Xenopus tropicalis: one gene and its partners. The main gene of each other region encodes a partner of the protein of the gene in region 3 in a complex. Links are inferred from orthologs where the notes say so. Each region holds a gene or a part of one and is shown on either strand. Other genes may lie near its edges.

Region 1 (4,586 bases), on a different chromosome or scaffold from region 3:
AAAAAAACATTCATCAAACTATTAGATGATTCATCAAATGAAAGAAAGTAGCCAAGAAGAAGCCTGCACCACACTGACCTTGTCAGCTCTTCCGAGAAACAGAACCTGCGCCTATAACTGATGGATGTTAACTTGTATCTTATTTTGTAAGGTCTCCCGTCATTATTTGTTTGGGATGTAGAGAAATGCCATATATCATGAACAGAGCCATTGTCTGGTGAGATAAGGATGGGACTGTGCATCCATTAAATTGTTGCTTGTGTTTTATTGCTGAAGGCTGGCAATTCTAAGCCATGAACTGATAAATACACAGCATAAAACAAGTGCAAATAGGTAAGAGGCACAGCCGGAAGACAAAAGCAAAATTTGGAAACACTGAGCAACAGATCAGCATATATTTATTAAATACATATCCTGACAATTTACAGTTACATATTTTTACAATGATGTTGCCACCTATAATTTTTAACTAGAGACCAATTATGGACTGATACCATACACCCAAAGTACAGCTACAGCAGAACCAGATTTGGACTATTTTATCCAGATAGAGCCAATACTAACTGCTGAATTACCAGTATCAGTATAGAATCAATACTAATTACTTATTTATCTTCTACAAAGATACTGAATACTAACTACAGAGTATTCTATCAAATGGTTTCCATTACTGACCATGAAATAATATGTCCTGAGACAGCAAATACTAACAACGGACCTTATTATCTCCAGACAGGCATTACTAACTACAGAATTATCAATACACAGAAATAACTATATATATGGACTGATAATTCTGAGATAGTCAATAATAATAATAAGTGCCAGTAATAACTACAGACTCAAAATATGGAGACTGGTGTATTAAGAAATTATCATTTAATTTGAATTATAAAGTTGTAACATAACATTATAGAACACAGGACCCTCTATGGACTATTATCCAAGGATATTACTATCATCTCTATTAAAAGTAATTATGGACCACTGTACTTAAAGTGGCCATACACGTTTGGTGAGGTGGCCAAACGAGTGCATCTTTCTCCATATATGCCTACCTAAGGTGGACGATATGGGGCTTATTGAATTGTTTTGCACTAGGGCCAAACAACAGAATTACAATGACAGGTTTAGGAGCCTTCTGAGGGAGAACTGCATCAATTAGCTGAAGCTGACCCCGACCCAATGGGAAAATCAAACCTGCCGATCGACACCTGCCAAATTTTCAGGCACATATCGGTCAAGGGAGCTCATTGGGGCCCATACACAGGCAGATATGGTGGCGAATCAGTTTAAAGGCCTCTAATCGGCGGCTTAAATCTGTCCATGTATAGCCACCTTTAGAGTGCCAACAGTAATTGTTAAATGTTGCTCCCAGAGGCAGCCAATACCTGTTCTAACTTTGCTATATAAAATTCATAGACAATGCATTATGTAAAAAAAGGAGCAAAGTTTTCTACAGGTCAACCAATCAGCAGGTAACATTTACATAACACTTGTTTAAAAGCAAGTTGCTATGAGTTACTGGACCTGGACAAATTTGGTGGCATCCAATACAGATATTAATGCAGTATACCCAAGGACGACCAATAGCAACTATGTACCTTTATATCCGAAGATGCTAAATACAAATTACAGTGCATTATATCCAGTTACAGCCAATAGCAACTATTGTCAATGAATCCTAATATATCAAATTCAATATAGTGAATTACACCCAAGAAAAGCCAATAGTAATTCTGGGCCATTATATTCTAGGATACAAATACAATTATAGTGTATTATACCAAGGGCCAATAAAGAATATATTAGGATATCCATTATAAATGACAGCACATTATATGTAGGATCACCTAATAGTAATATGTATCATTATACTCAAAGAGATACAATACAAAGTACAGTGTATTGTACCCAAGCATACTAACTACATCAGGAGATATATGGTAATAACTATTATTTAGAACTGCTGAATCTCTTACTAGTGTGGCAGAAGCAAATGCTGCCAGTGGTTGTGAGTAAGGAGAGCCACATACCCAGGTGGTCCCACCATGTAAATGAAGCAGTGAGATAATACCTTACCTTGGCATAGCAAAAGGAAATAAGAAGAAGAGGCAGCAGGTATCCAAAGACAAAGGTGCACACCACATAGATCCTTTTCTGCTGGGCATTTGGCCACGATTCCCAACAGAAAGTCTGGTTGTTCTTATAAACCAAACCCTGGTTGTAAGCAACTGGAGAAGCCATGGCAATGGAGAGGATCCAGATGACAATTACTCCCACCAGGGCATTTCTAGACACCCTGATAGCAGATGACCTCCTGGAGTGAACTATGGCCACGTATCTATCCACCGACATGGCAGACAGTGTGAAGATGCTGACCAGCATGGACACGGTGAAGAAGTAATGAATGAACTTGCAGATGAAGGCTCCCAGCACCCAGGTTGGCAGGACATAGACAGTGGATTGGAAAGGGATACAGAAGAGCAGATAAGCCAGGTCTGCGATACTCAAGTTCAGGATGAAGATGTTGGTGGTACTGCGGGGCTTCCCGGGTTTGTTTCTAGCCAGCACCGTTATAACCAAGGAATTACCCAGCACCCCTAGAGCGAATATCATCCCGAACACAACCAGAGTGATAACATTGTCAATGCCAATTCCGAGAAGTGGCTTTACAGCTGATGGCACTTCTGAACTATTTGGGTCCAGCTCAAACCCTTCGCTATCGTTCCGGACATCTGTGTCTTGATCCATCTTCTCTTATCTTGTGCCCACTAGACAATAAGTGTTTGTATCGCTTTAAACTAACTGCGCGTAATTGTGCGCTAGTGGAGCTGCCGTGCGTAACGTTGCCCGGTCCGGTTGTGGGGAGGCAGGTGGCAGCCGCAGCGGGAAGCTAACAAGTGGCAGCGTGTAGGGGCAGCACACACGGTATGAAGTTTGTTGCGACTGTCCATGAGCTGGAATAGAGGAGGGAGAGGAGGAGTGTGCTTAGCTTGTGTGTGTGTGTGAGTGTATATGTGTGTGTGTGTGTATATGTGTGTGTGTGTGCTTGCCCCTCTCTGCAATGCCCTCAGTTAAGCACCTCTTTCTTTCTCCCTGCCTGACGCCTGTTGAACGCGCAGCGAAACTACTTGCGATTTTATGTGCCGTGCCCTGCAACTCCCTCTGTCCAATCAGTCGCAGTCTACTTTGCAATAGATGCAGGCACCGGCGATTTCCAGCGGTGTCATGTACGACTGCCAACATGCTTCATTTCCTCGCAGCAGCCCACGATTATACCATCAATTTGCAGACGGATTTGGCCATTTAATGGAACGTTGCCTTTTACTCTTGTTTCGCTGGAAATCCAGTTGTGGGGGGAGAACAGGAGTCTGGGCTGTTGCTTGTTCATTTATCCAGCCCCACGTTTATAGGTGTGCGATGTACCTGATCTGTATTAGCTAATAACTATATGTATGGATAGCTGCCAAAGTTAAAGGGGATATAAACCCCAAAATAATGTAATGTCAGCACCTTATTAACATATTTTATTGTTTTCTGAAATTGTAATAGCTATTGAAAGCAGTGTCTGTTTGCCCCTTTCTACTCTCTGCATTCGTGGTTCTTACCAAGAGAAGTACAGTTTTACATCAAAATCAGTCATTTTGTTGTGAATCCTTGCTAGAATTTTGCCATGGACCCAGTTTTACTGGGGAAAATACAATCTGTTGATGTAGACATCATTATTATCTGCCTCTAGTCATTTTTTCAGTGGTAGCATAGAGGAAAGAGCATATCTAATAGTGTATAGGTTACTGCAGAGCTGAAATATACATTTACTCCAATTTAATTTTGCCTTTCCATTTATTCCAATGCACTTTGTCTAAAACTTTTCTATGGTTTCCCAAATGACTACACTGCAAGTTTGCTCATCACTGTTGCTGAGAATTTCATAATTCTTTTACTTGGCAACATAGTATTTGGGGATTACATGCCCTTTGCATTTGCTTTAATGTCTTTCCTTGTACATGAGCTTCCAGAAATGTAATATCTTGCATTTCAGACTGCTAACAGGGAGAGGCAGTGTGGTCCATGGCTAGGAAAAGAATGCAGCAGCCAGTTGCCTTATTAACTTGATTTCTCTAACCACAGCCTGGTAGTCACATCTGCCTTTGCTGAAGCATTGCTGTCACGGTCTCACTGTAATGTCACTTTCATTAAATTGCATGTTCTTAGGTTAGAGTCTGGGTGTCAGGGTTTTGCTTATTGTGTGTCATAAAGATGTTTTGCACAGAGATCCACACTGTTAAACTGAAAGCCCTCGCCCTGCAGCAGCCTCAGGGAAGCTCATTTAAAATAAATGAATCAAATTTAATGTGTTATGGGACTGAATTGCAGTAAAAGGCAGAAAATTAGCTTCTACATTGTTTTTTATTTACCCAGTGTTTTGCATTTACTCCATAGCTCAAAAATTATCTCTATCTATCTATCATCTCTCTAATCTAACTAATCTATCCATCCAACCATCCATTTATTATGTATGTCTACCCATCCATCCAATCATGTCTGTATGTCTGTCTAGATATATAACCATGGGCCAGATT
Region 2 (2,993 bases), on a different chromosome or scaffold from region 3:
GTCCGTCAACACAGTATGGTTTCTGAATCTGGCCATTGCTGATCTACTGTGCTGCCTCTCTGTACCCTTTACAATAATGGAGATTGTCATGGGTCAGTGGCCATTGGGACTCGCTACCTGCAAACTGATACCTACTCTACTATTGATTAATATGTATGCCAGTGTCCTTTTACTGACTGTGATAAGTATAGACCGATGGTTACTGGTTGCAAAACCAGTTTGGTGTCAGAACAAAAGGACTGTGATAAAGGCATATTTGGCATGTGCCATAGTGTGGCTGTTGGCTCTTATTTTGACCAGCCCATCTTTTGTCTTTAGGCAAATAGTTGTAAACATTGTAGAAAAACATGTTTGTGTAATGCATTACAATATTTCTAAAGATCATATAGAAAAGGTCAAGCAATTTATTGCTATTTTCCGATTTTTAATAGGCTTCATTATTCCCTTTGTAGTTATCACTGTATGCTATGGTGTTTTAGTTAGGAAAGTCAGTGAGCGCTATAACAAATCTGGTAAGACAATGAAAGTAGTAACTGTAGTGATAATTGGCTTCTTTGTCTGTTGGTTCCCTTACCATATAGCTGGTCTTATAATAGCTACTCATTCATCCAATTCAGACCTTTACCAGAACACATTGAAAATAGACCCCATTTTGGTTAGCTTTGCAATTATTAACAGTTGCATCAATCCTATAATTTATGTTTTAGCAGGGCAAGACCTGAAATCCAAATTTAGGAAATCCATTAGATCAGTAGTGAAGAACGTACTGGCAGAAGAAGAAAGTCAGTCATTTGATTCCAAGAAGACAAAATCAAGTTCTGAGACAAAAAACACTGATACATGTGTGTAGTGTAAAGAATCAAGTACATTAACCAAACCTTGAAATCAGATCCTTTTTGAGATGTGTGGAGGAAATCAGATTAGTGTCTGTGGTGGATTATTCTCTGTCTGTGGGAAAGATATTTCCTTTATTGTTGGGGTCACTCAAGTATAACATAAACAGGTTAGGTCCTGTATTGAACATGCAAAAATACAACAAAAAAAATCTGCTTAAGTTTGGATCCCTTAGAAATGAACCCTGCTGTATATTGCCTGTTGATTCCTATTAAAAGAGAAAGGGGGTCAAATGTGCAGTGTTGGACTGTGATTTCCTGGGCCCACTGGTTGGTACAATCTCAGGGCCCCACCACCAGAGCCTTGCGGCCCCCTTACTGCTGTCATGGACCCCTCCTGTACTTGACGCAGGCCCTCCCACCGCACCTGATGCAAATTATTTATACCTCCACCCCAGTCCTCCTGGTGACTCCCCAGCCAGGTCTGATGCTGCATACTTGCCCTAAATTTTAAAACAATCCAAAGCAAAAGTGAAAAGCTTCTCCAGTGTCATAATAAATCTGCAATATTGTACACTGTAAGGGAGAGAACTGATTTTATATTGTTCTGCTTTTGGAGATGCTCGGGTGGGCAGGCCCTGTATTGTACTTTACATAATGTTCTGGACAACAATAAATATCAGACAGTGAACACGGTTCAGATCCTTTACGTCAGTGAATTGCAAACTTTTTCAGCTTGAGGTTCAAAATTGGCCTGGGCCCTACATAGGCCATACTAACAATATCTGCAATAGCATAATATGTATTCACCCCACATCATATCCTAAATGAGCTTCCCACTAAGTTTCTGGAGACAAGTTGTATATAAAAGTAAATTTAGTCATTTTATATATATATATATATATATAATATATATATGTAAAAAAGGTAAATATCTAATAGTATTTGTGTGACTTATTTTAACTCTTGTGTGTTTGGATACTTTACAACTAAATATAAAATATAATGGGATGACAAAATCATGTAATTTATTCAGATTTTGCCATGAAGTCTGTGGAAAGCTGTGGAAATGCAGGGATGCAGTTTGATTCTGGGCCCAAAGTTACCAGCAGCACTTGCCATTGGGAAGCAGCTCACTGGCATCAGGTCTGCGAGACATTGTCCTTATGGCACTGACTAACTGGTCAATGGTTCTCCATCATGAATCAGCTAATTCCATAGTAATGCAATTTAATGAATGTATGGGGTGGGATAATTTCATTTCTGTGTAATTAACTAAATGCTTAAATGGATTTTATGCAAAATAAAATGAGATCTTACATTGCCTTCTAACTACAATATTGTATTACCTCCCCACTAAAACCACTTACCAAACAGATGTATTTACATTCCAATTTACAAAATATCAAAGGAACAAAATACAGACTATTTGTGGTTCTTAAGAATATGCTTGAGCATATTCTTGTTTGCATTTTTCGCTGCAGTTTTTCTCGAAAAAAACCCAGCAAATTTGAATTTTGATAAATTGTTCCTTAAAGGAGAAGGAAAGGTAAGAACTAAGTAAGCTTTATCAGAAAGGTCTATGTAAATACAGCCATAAGCACAGTAATGCTGCACTGAGTCCTCTATCAAAAGAAACAGTATTTCTTGTCTCTTTTTTGCAAACATGATGTTCCAGTGTCTGACTTCCTCTCTCAGAAACAGCCTTAATTCCCGGGGCCAGAGCCTGCACAGTTCTCTCCTCTCTTGCCTCCCCTCTCCTGCTCCCCCCCTTCTTTAGGAATGTGTGATCTCAGGTATAACAGCTAGAGACTGCAGGAAGGAAGCTTCCTAATATGGCAGCTGCTATCTTAAGCAAAAGCAGAAAGCTTCTAAAGCTGTTTACTCAGGTATGGTAATGGTTTCTGCAGAATAAATATATTGTTCTAGGTGGCACTAATGTGGCAAATCTATTGGTAGTAAAATGCCAAAATGACTTTCCTTCTCCTTTAAGTCCTTTACAAACCCTTTCCTCAAAGGTTTATTATGTAATGAAGTATTCAGATCCTCTGAATTATTATTCACTGATTTATTATTAGTCATAAGTCAGCTGTGGGAATACTGATTAAAGAAAAAAAACATACAGATCTTAATCTCACTCTTCTTCTATCAATTGCTTTT
Region 3 (2,977 bases):
TATAGGCTAAGAGAGAGTCCTGTTCTAATGACTGCAAAGTGGGACCTAAAAACTAAATTCTGAAAGCCTCTGGGCTAAGGATGCAGAGCAGCAGCAGCAGCAGATTTCCAACCTGGATGCAGGCACAATTTCACCTACAGCCTGCAGTTGTACAATAGCGACACAAGGGCCACCTCATTGTGCCCAAAGGGAGCCAGGTTCATTCTCCTTGTACAGTGACGCACGTTGATAAAAAGCAGAATGTTGGAGACAGCTCAGTACAGACAAACATTCTCTTTATTAAGCTACACACGAGTTTCCATTAGTTACGAGAGTCGCTGGCAGCACCAAACTGAGCGCTCGGCAATACAAAGAACACACTCCAGCTTCATTTCTCGCTCATTTATTGATTGATTTTTCATTTTTTTTCTTTAACATTTGTGACCGCTCTTCTTCAATTCGCAAGTGAAATGGTGAAGAAGTCTGAGTTCTAATCAAAGTAGAAATGGCAAAGGTTTGGTCATGAAAATTGTGGATTTAATGTAAACACTACATTCGATTAAATTAGTTTTTTTTGTTTTGTTTTTTTCTTTTTTTTTTCTTTTTTGATGTTTTTTGTGTTTTTTTTCTCAGCACAAACATCCCACATGAGAGGAAAACACCATTCACTATAAGATGGAAAGGATGGGGGGTGGGGCGGGAGAGAAGCAGCACAAAGCATTCACTTAGGAAAGTAAAACAAGATTGAAAGTAAAGAAGCCTATCAGTTTGGAAATACACAGAATTCAGAGCAAAAATTGAAGAGGGGAATTATTTCAGCAGCTGGAGGTCAGTGAGAGCTGTGCTTTTTCTATACAAATCCAAAGAGTGCATGGTACACAGTTCAGAGTAAGGGAATCCAATCAGAAATCAGATCTGTACATTAAATATCTTGGAAAATTCTTTTTTTTCTCCATTCAAATGATAATTTTATTCCACCTAGTCCAACAGAAATAACCCCAATCAAACCCCCCAAAAAACAGATTTATATAAACCCATTTCTTTGCTGGAGGCCATGTTGGCTTCTCTGGCAGTGATGGGGTTGGAAAGGATAAAGGAGATGCTTCTTTACAAGTTGGTGCAAGAAAATGGTAGTAAGAATAATAAGAAGAATAAGAATAAGGGAGGTGTCTTTAAGCTACAAGCACGTGGGAAAAAAAGAACAGTTTTGTTTCTTCTAAATGTACAGACTTAGCTAAACCAGATTTACAGCATCCTATGCAGCCACTAATCCAGTGATAACATTACACATCAACTTTAAGGAAGGCTGTGTTTTTACAAAGGCCAAAGGTCATGCTACCTGCAGATCATCAATTTGAGGGTCCGTAAAGTAGTGCGGAGTAGGAGGGGACAGCGGGGTATGAAACCCCCTAAAAACTGTAGACTGTGCCCCCTGCTCTGCAGTTTGGGTTGGCACTGATACCTTTATCATAAAACGGGGGCCCGCTACATTGTGTTGTTCAGACTAGCTGGGCCTCCCAGAATCCCTCTCAGACCCTCTTACAGCAACAGCACCCACAAAAGCTGAGCACATTGTCCTGCGAGTCTCACAAACACTTCTACCTGGTTAAGAAATTGGAGGGGAATTTTTTTTTTTTGTTTTAACCGAAGAGCTGAACAGAAGAGATAAACCTGAAGGTTCGCTTGGGTCCTGTTTGTGTGAAACTGATCGCAACACACATATCTTAAAAGATTAAAATATATTATATTCCCTTTATCAAATAAGTCCTACACTATCTTTCAGTCCTGGAAAGAACAGTCATGGGTTACATGAGTTGCAGAAGTTCCAGCACTGAAAGGGTTAGGCAGATTGGGACCTACAGAGAATCCTTAAAAATGAGGAAACTCGATTATTTTGGATAAGGGCTGTCAGGAATCTATTCTGTTGACAGCTCTTTGAGACAAACTAAAAAGATTGGTTATATATATATATATATTTATATATATATAAATGTTTATTTTTGTTTTGCCTTCTGTTTACCAAGTTGCATTTTTTTATCGCCAGAAGATAAATTGCTATACAGAGAAAATCAGTACAAGCCGCAGCCTCTGAGGTTGTTGGCAATGATGATGTCAGTGACGGCATCGAATACCACCTGGATATTATTCGTATCTGTGGCGCAAGTCATGTGACAATAAATCTCCTTATTGGGAGAGCGGTTCTTGCTTTCAAATTGTGCTTGGATATAAGCAGCAGCATCTTCATAGGTGTTAGGACCTAATGAACAGACAAAAAAGGCATAAAAAACAATGAGGACATGTGAGACAATAAATATGAAAAAAGCAAATCTAAAGGTAACTAAAACCCCACTAACAAAAGATCAAGTGCACCAAATGATTGGCTACTGTACCAGCCTTGAGGTAAAGCAGCACTAGAGAAGTGATCATTACAGCTGCTGGAGATGCACTTTGCACATCTTTTTCCAAATTTTCCATTTTCAAAATGATCTATATCAGAGGCCCTGCTGTTTTTTTGTACAGGAAACTCATTTTGCCTTTAAATATTCCCTGTCTGTGCACATGAATTTGCAATAAATATACTGGGGCACAACTGCAACCACAGTTACACAAAAATGTAATTGCTCAATGTTATGGCATTTATTAAAGGTATGTGTGTCCAAAACTGCATTTAGCACTGTCACACTGTTGCATATAGCACTGCTGCATCCATCCTGCCTCCTGTTGTGAATTTTGTGCCTACTAATGCTGGGAAACCCTAGAGCAGGCATGCCCAACCTTTTATAACCGTGAGCCACATTCAAATGGAAAAGGATTTGGAGAGCAACACATGCATGAAAAAGGGTTCTGGGTGTGCCTATTAACCAAATCCAGCAGCAAGACTGGGCAGCAGTGCTACCCATTAAACCAATGTGATGAGAAGAGGCAACATGGACACAATGACAGCCATATGGCAGTGCAGGAGCATGTTGTTTGGACACACAGAATTGCACCAATACAC
Region 4 (3,131 bases), on a different chromosome or scaffold from region 3:
TCCCTCAGAGGGAATCATTTTGTCCCACTCTGTCTGGTATCGGTGGTACTTTCTGCGGTGGCATATGAGATACATAACAAGTTAGTTATACTAGAAAATACTCAGAGGGAGGATGGGCCTGTATTGATCTGTCTCTTGTATTGCTCTGTATAGAGAGGAGTTTGTGAAAAATAGAGGCAGAAAACATTTTTGGCCCCAGACCTTAAGCCAGGACTGTCTGGAAGCCCAAGTTTTAGATGTGGCCCTCAGAGTAATGGCTATAGCCCCCAGCCTGGCCATTGGCTAGATAAACTTATTTCTATGACATAATCAGGGCTAAGAACATTTGGCATATTAAATATGCAGGCAGGGTGCTGTCTTCTCTAGGAAGTTTTCCTCCCAAAGTTTATCATTCTAACCAGGGGTTAGAAAAGGTCCAAAATGGAGCCTGTGCCAGATACAGTACAGTCAGTAAGCTTTGTTGTGGGATGGTTGAAAACAGTGGCATAACTATGGTTCTTTGGTCTCTAGTTACACCACTGGCTAAAAAAAATAAAAGTAATTTGAAATAAACAAAACTGTATCAGCTTCTGCTTACGAGGATGTGTATGTTGCCTTCATAACTAAACTGAGAATCAGAGTTAGAACATACCGGTCCCTGAATACCTGTGACCCCAATGCTCACTGACAGACTGTGGCTGTGACCAGAGTCACCAAAACACTGTAGCTCAGGGAAGGGCACTGTAGCACTAAAGAGCCGCCCGCTTCTTTAGGAACCCAGTTTTGTATTGTATCATCTTTAATGAGAAGCCAACAACAAATGTCTGATTTATGTTTTATTTTCCTCAACGTTTATCACATCAGCAATTTAATAATTGTTAAAATGTTAATCTTGTTATGAGGCAGTTTGTGCCAAGGTGCAAGGGTTTGAGTACTGCCTATTTACTTTATTTGGGAAGTTGTAAAACACTTATCTAAGCCTCTAGGACAGTGGTTGCTGGGCTGCTTTGGTTCAAGTTCTCACTGAGCTGATAAGGTTACAGATACAGGGAAACGTTTAGGGCAGTGGTACATGGGGAGATTAGTCGCGGGGCAATGCCATCCCACTGGCTAGAATGTAAATCTCTGGTGGGATGGCATATGCGCTGCTGCGACGTCCCACAGTCGCCCAAAGTTTCCTCTCAAGACAACTTTGGGCGAGATTGCGGGGAGATTAGTCACTTGCGACAACGAAGATTTGTCACGGGGCGACTAATCTCCCCGTGTACCACTTCCCCTAGGGTGAAGACACACTGGGCTACTAGTAGCTGCTACTTTTTCAAGGCTACTAAACTCCAGAAAATCCCTTGCCACAGACGATACTGCGAATTGCCTCTGCTAAAACACGTAGAGACAGTTATCAGTAAATGATCAACATTGTCTGTGTGTCTTCACCCTTACGCATTAGCAATTAGACCAAATACATATATGGGATGGCAAAAGTGTTCCCCCCCAGTACTCAGTAGAATAGACCTGGGCTGTCAGGGGTAGCAAAAATTTTCCCCAAATCTCACCCTAACTGGCCTTTAGGTAGAGCATACCTTCCTGGTCACTGACGTAGGCCCAACCGTTTGGGAATTGGTTGCTAGGTGTTTGCTGCAAAGAAAAAAAAAATACAAAATGCAGGAAAAATGCTTCATACTATATACAATATATACAATATAAAAGTGAGCCAGCCAATCACTTATCACTTGTATTAAGCTGAGCACAGGCCCATTCTCCTCTGGCATAAAGTGAACCCCACAGAGACTGGCAGAATGACAATATCCATGATTAATGTCATATACTGATTGTTGCTTTTAAAGTGTATGGTCTTTATATTGGCCTATAACATTGAGCTGTAACGGGCACTCTCTCTGCTCTTGCTGCCACCGGTAGTTCTTGTAATTTCCTCAGTAAGTGCACTCTGCAGCAGCCCCCGTATCGACTTGGACATCTTGCTCTTGAAGTCCTTACCCATAAAAACATAAATGATGGGATTGATGCAGCTGTTGCTGTAGGCCAATGCCTGGGACAAGTGGTCGAGACGCGTCAGGGTGGAACTACTGATGTACTCGAGAGCAATTCCGATAACGTGGTAGGGGGTCCACAGCATGCAAAAGGCCAGCACGATAGCAATAACCACCTTGCGTGTCTTTCGGCCTACGTTGGCAAAGCGTCCACTTTGTACCTTCCAGCTGAGTCGGATATAGCAGAAAAGGATAACGAGCAGAGGCAAGAAGAAGCCAAAGATCACTCGGGTTATAGTGATGGCAACGGAAGTTTCATGGCCTGAGGGTTCCACATCCGAATTATCATGAGCAAAATTATTATAAGTATAGTTGCCAAAATCATAATCCTCTTCTAAACCACTATATTCAAAATCTCCCTCCACTTGCTTGTAGGTGTAGCCGCAGTAGGTGTGGTTATTGTAATATGTGATTGTTCGGTACATGAACACGGGGAGGCACAACGTTAGGGACACGAGCCAGATGACCAAGCACAGGAGATAAGCCAGAGGCACGCTGCGGTGATTCTGGGCCCACACTGGCTTGACTACCAGAATATAGCGATCCACGCTTATGGCCACCAGAGTGAAGACGCTGGCAAACATGTTGAGGATAATGATGGAGGGTAACACCTTGCAGGAGATGGAATCGTTTGGCCAGGCGTTATGGAGGATCTCATGAGCCATCGAGAAAGGAAGAGACAAACAGCAGATAAGGTCGGCCACGGCAAGGTTACAAAACCAAACTGTATTCACTGTCCTCCTCATCTTGATACCCGTCACCCAGATAACAAGGATATTCCCAGGCACCCCCACAACGAAGGTAAGAGCCATAACTATTAGGGTCACCATTGACTCTGGGCTGTAGTGCTCCATCTGTGGGGTGCTACTGCCAACGTAGCTCCTATTCACTTCCGGTAACGTGCTGGATACCTGTAACGATATTCTGCGTCACTAAATGTGTCTAACACTAGCAAAGGGAAATGTTACATTATGGGCAGCACTGGGGGGTATTTTTGGGGTTCTGGGCCCTGTCCCTTACTGTAAATGATATTAGAGGTCACTGAGGGGTTCTGTCCCCATATAAAGGCACAAGGCTGCAGGCTGAGTTATACAGGGAACTCTG

What was found.
Region 1: the proteins of gnao1 (region 3) and galr1 are in contact, whole or in part, in a cryo-EM structure (PDB 7XJJ), measured with the Homo sapiens proteins. The link is inferred for Xenopus tropicalis from reciprocal best matches to the Homo sapiens genes GNAO1 and GALR1. Residues at the interface, in NP_066268.1 of Homo sapiens: Ser264, Asn316, Glu318, Tyr320, Asp337, Asp341, Ile343, Ile344, Ala345, Asn347, Leu348, Arg349, Gly350, Cys351, Gly352, Leu353, Tyr354; in NP_001471.2 of Homo sapiens: Thr70, Arg133, Ala136, Ile137, Ser140, Arg141, His226, Leu227, Leu231, Asn233, Ser235, Lys236, Lys237, Ser238, Ala240, Ser241, Lys244, Thr245, Thr248, Leu306, Ser307, Glu308, Asn309.
Region 2: the proteins of gnao1 (region 3) and c5ar1 are in contact, whole or in part, in a cryo-EM structure (PDB 8JZP), measured with the Homo sapiens proteins. The link is inferred for Xenopus tropicalis from reciprocal best matches to the Homo sapiens genes GNAO1 and C5AR1. Residues at the interface, in NP_066268.1 of Homo sapiens: Ala31, Lys32, Lys193, Asn194, Leu195, Glu318, Tyr320, Phe336, Thr340, Asp341, Ile343, Ile344, Ala345, Asn347, Leu348, Arg349, Gly350, Cys351, Gly352, Leu353, Tyr354; in NP_001727.2 of Homo sapiens: Asn71, Phe75, Arg134, Leu137, Val138, Pro141, Ile142, Gln145, Ile225, Thr229, Arg233, Ala234, Thr235, Arg236, Ser237, Lys239, Thr240, Val243, Val244, Ala303, Gln305, Phe307.
Region 4: the proteins of gnao1 (region 3) and c3ar1 are in contact, whole or in part, in a cryo-EM structure (PDB 8I95), measured with the Homo sapiens proteins. The link is inferred for Xenopus tropicalis from reciprocal best matches to the Homo sapiens genes GNAO1 and C3AR1. Residues at the interface, in NP_066268.1 of Homo sapiens: Ile28, Ala31, Lys32, Asp33, Val34, Asn194, Leu195, Ser264, Asn316, Glu318, Tyr320, Asp341, Ile342, Ile343, Ile344, Ala345, Asn347, Leu348, Arg349, Gly350, Cys351, Gly352, Leu353, Tyr354; in NP_001313404.1 of Homo sapiens: Asn57, Asp119, Arg120, Val123, Val124, Pro127, Ile128, Gln131, Asn132, Arg134, Asn135, Tyr356, Ile359, Arg362, Gly366, Arg367, Phe368, Ser371, Lys374, Thr375, Val378, Leu438.

The regions. Positions count from the first base shown.
Region 1 is NC_030682.2:98,671,778-98,676,363, forward strand, and holds the start of galr1 (galanin receptor type 1), read right to left. Parts: upstream 2,868-4,586; 5' UTR 2,755-2,867; coding exon 2,083-2,754; intron 1-2,082. UniProt on the Homo sapiens protein: Receptor for the hormone galanin. The activity of this receptor is mediated by G proteins that inhibit adenylate cyclase activity.
Region 2 is NC_030684.2:76,890,726-76,893,718, reverse strand, and holds the end of c5ar1 (C5a anaphylatoxin chemotactic receptor 1), read left to right. Parts: coding exon 1-850; 3' UTR 851-2,280; downstream 2,281-2,993.
Region 3 is NC_030680.2:51,836,291-51,839,267, forward strand, and holds the end of gnao1 (guanine nucleotide-binding protein G(o) subunit alpha), read right to left. Parts: intron 2,237-2,977; coding exon 2,049-2,236; 3' UTR 557-2,048; downstream 1-556. UniProt on the Homo sapiens protein: Guanine nucleotide-binding proteins (G proteins) function as transducers downstream of G protein-coupled receptors (GPCRs) in numerous signaling cascades.
Region 4 is NC_030683.2:9,128,598-9,131,728, forward strand, and holds the end of c3ar1 (C3a anaphylatoxin chemotactic receptor), read right to left. Parts: intron 2,939-3,131; coding exon 1,844-2,938; 3' UTR 803-1,843; downstream 1-802.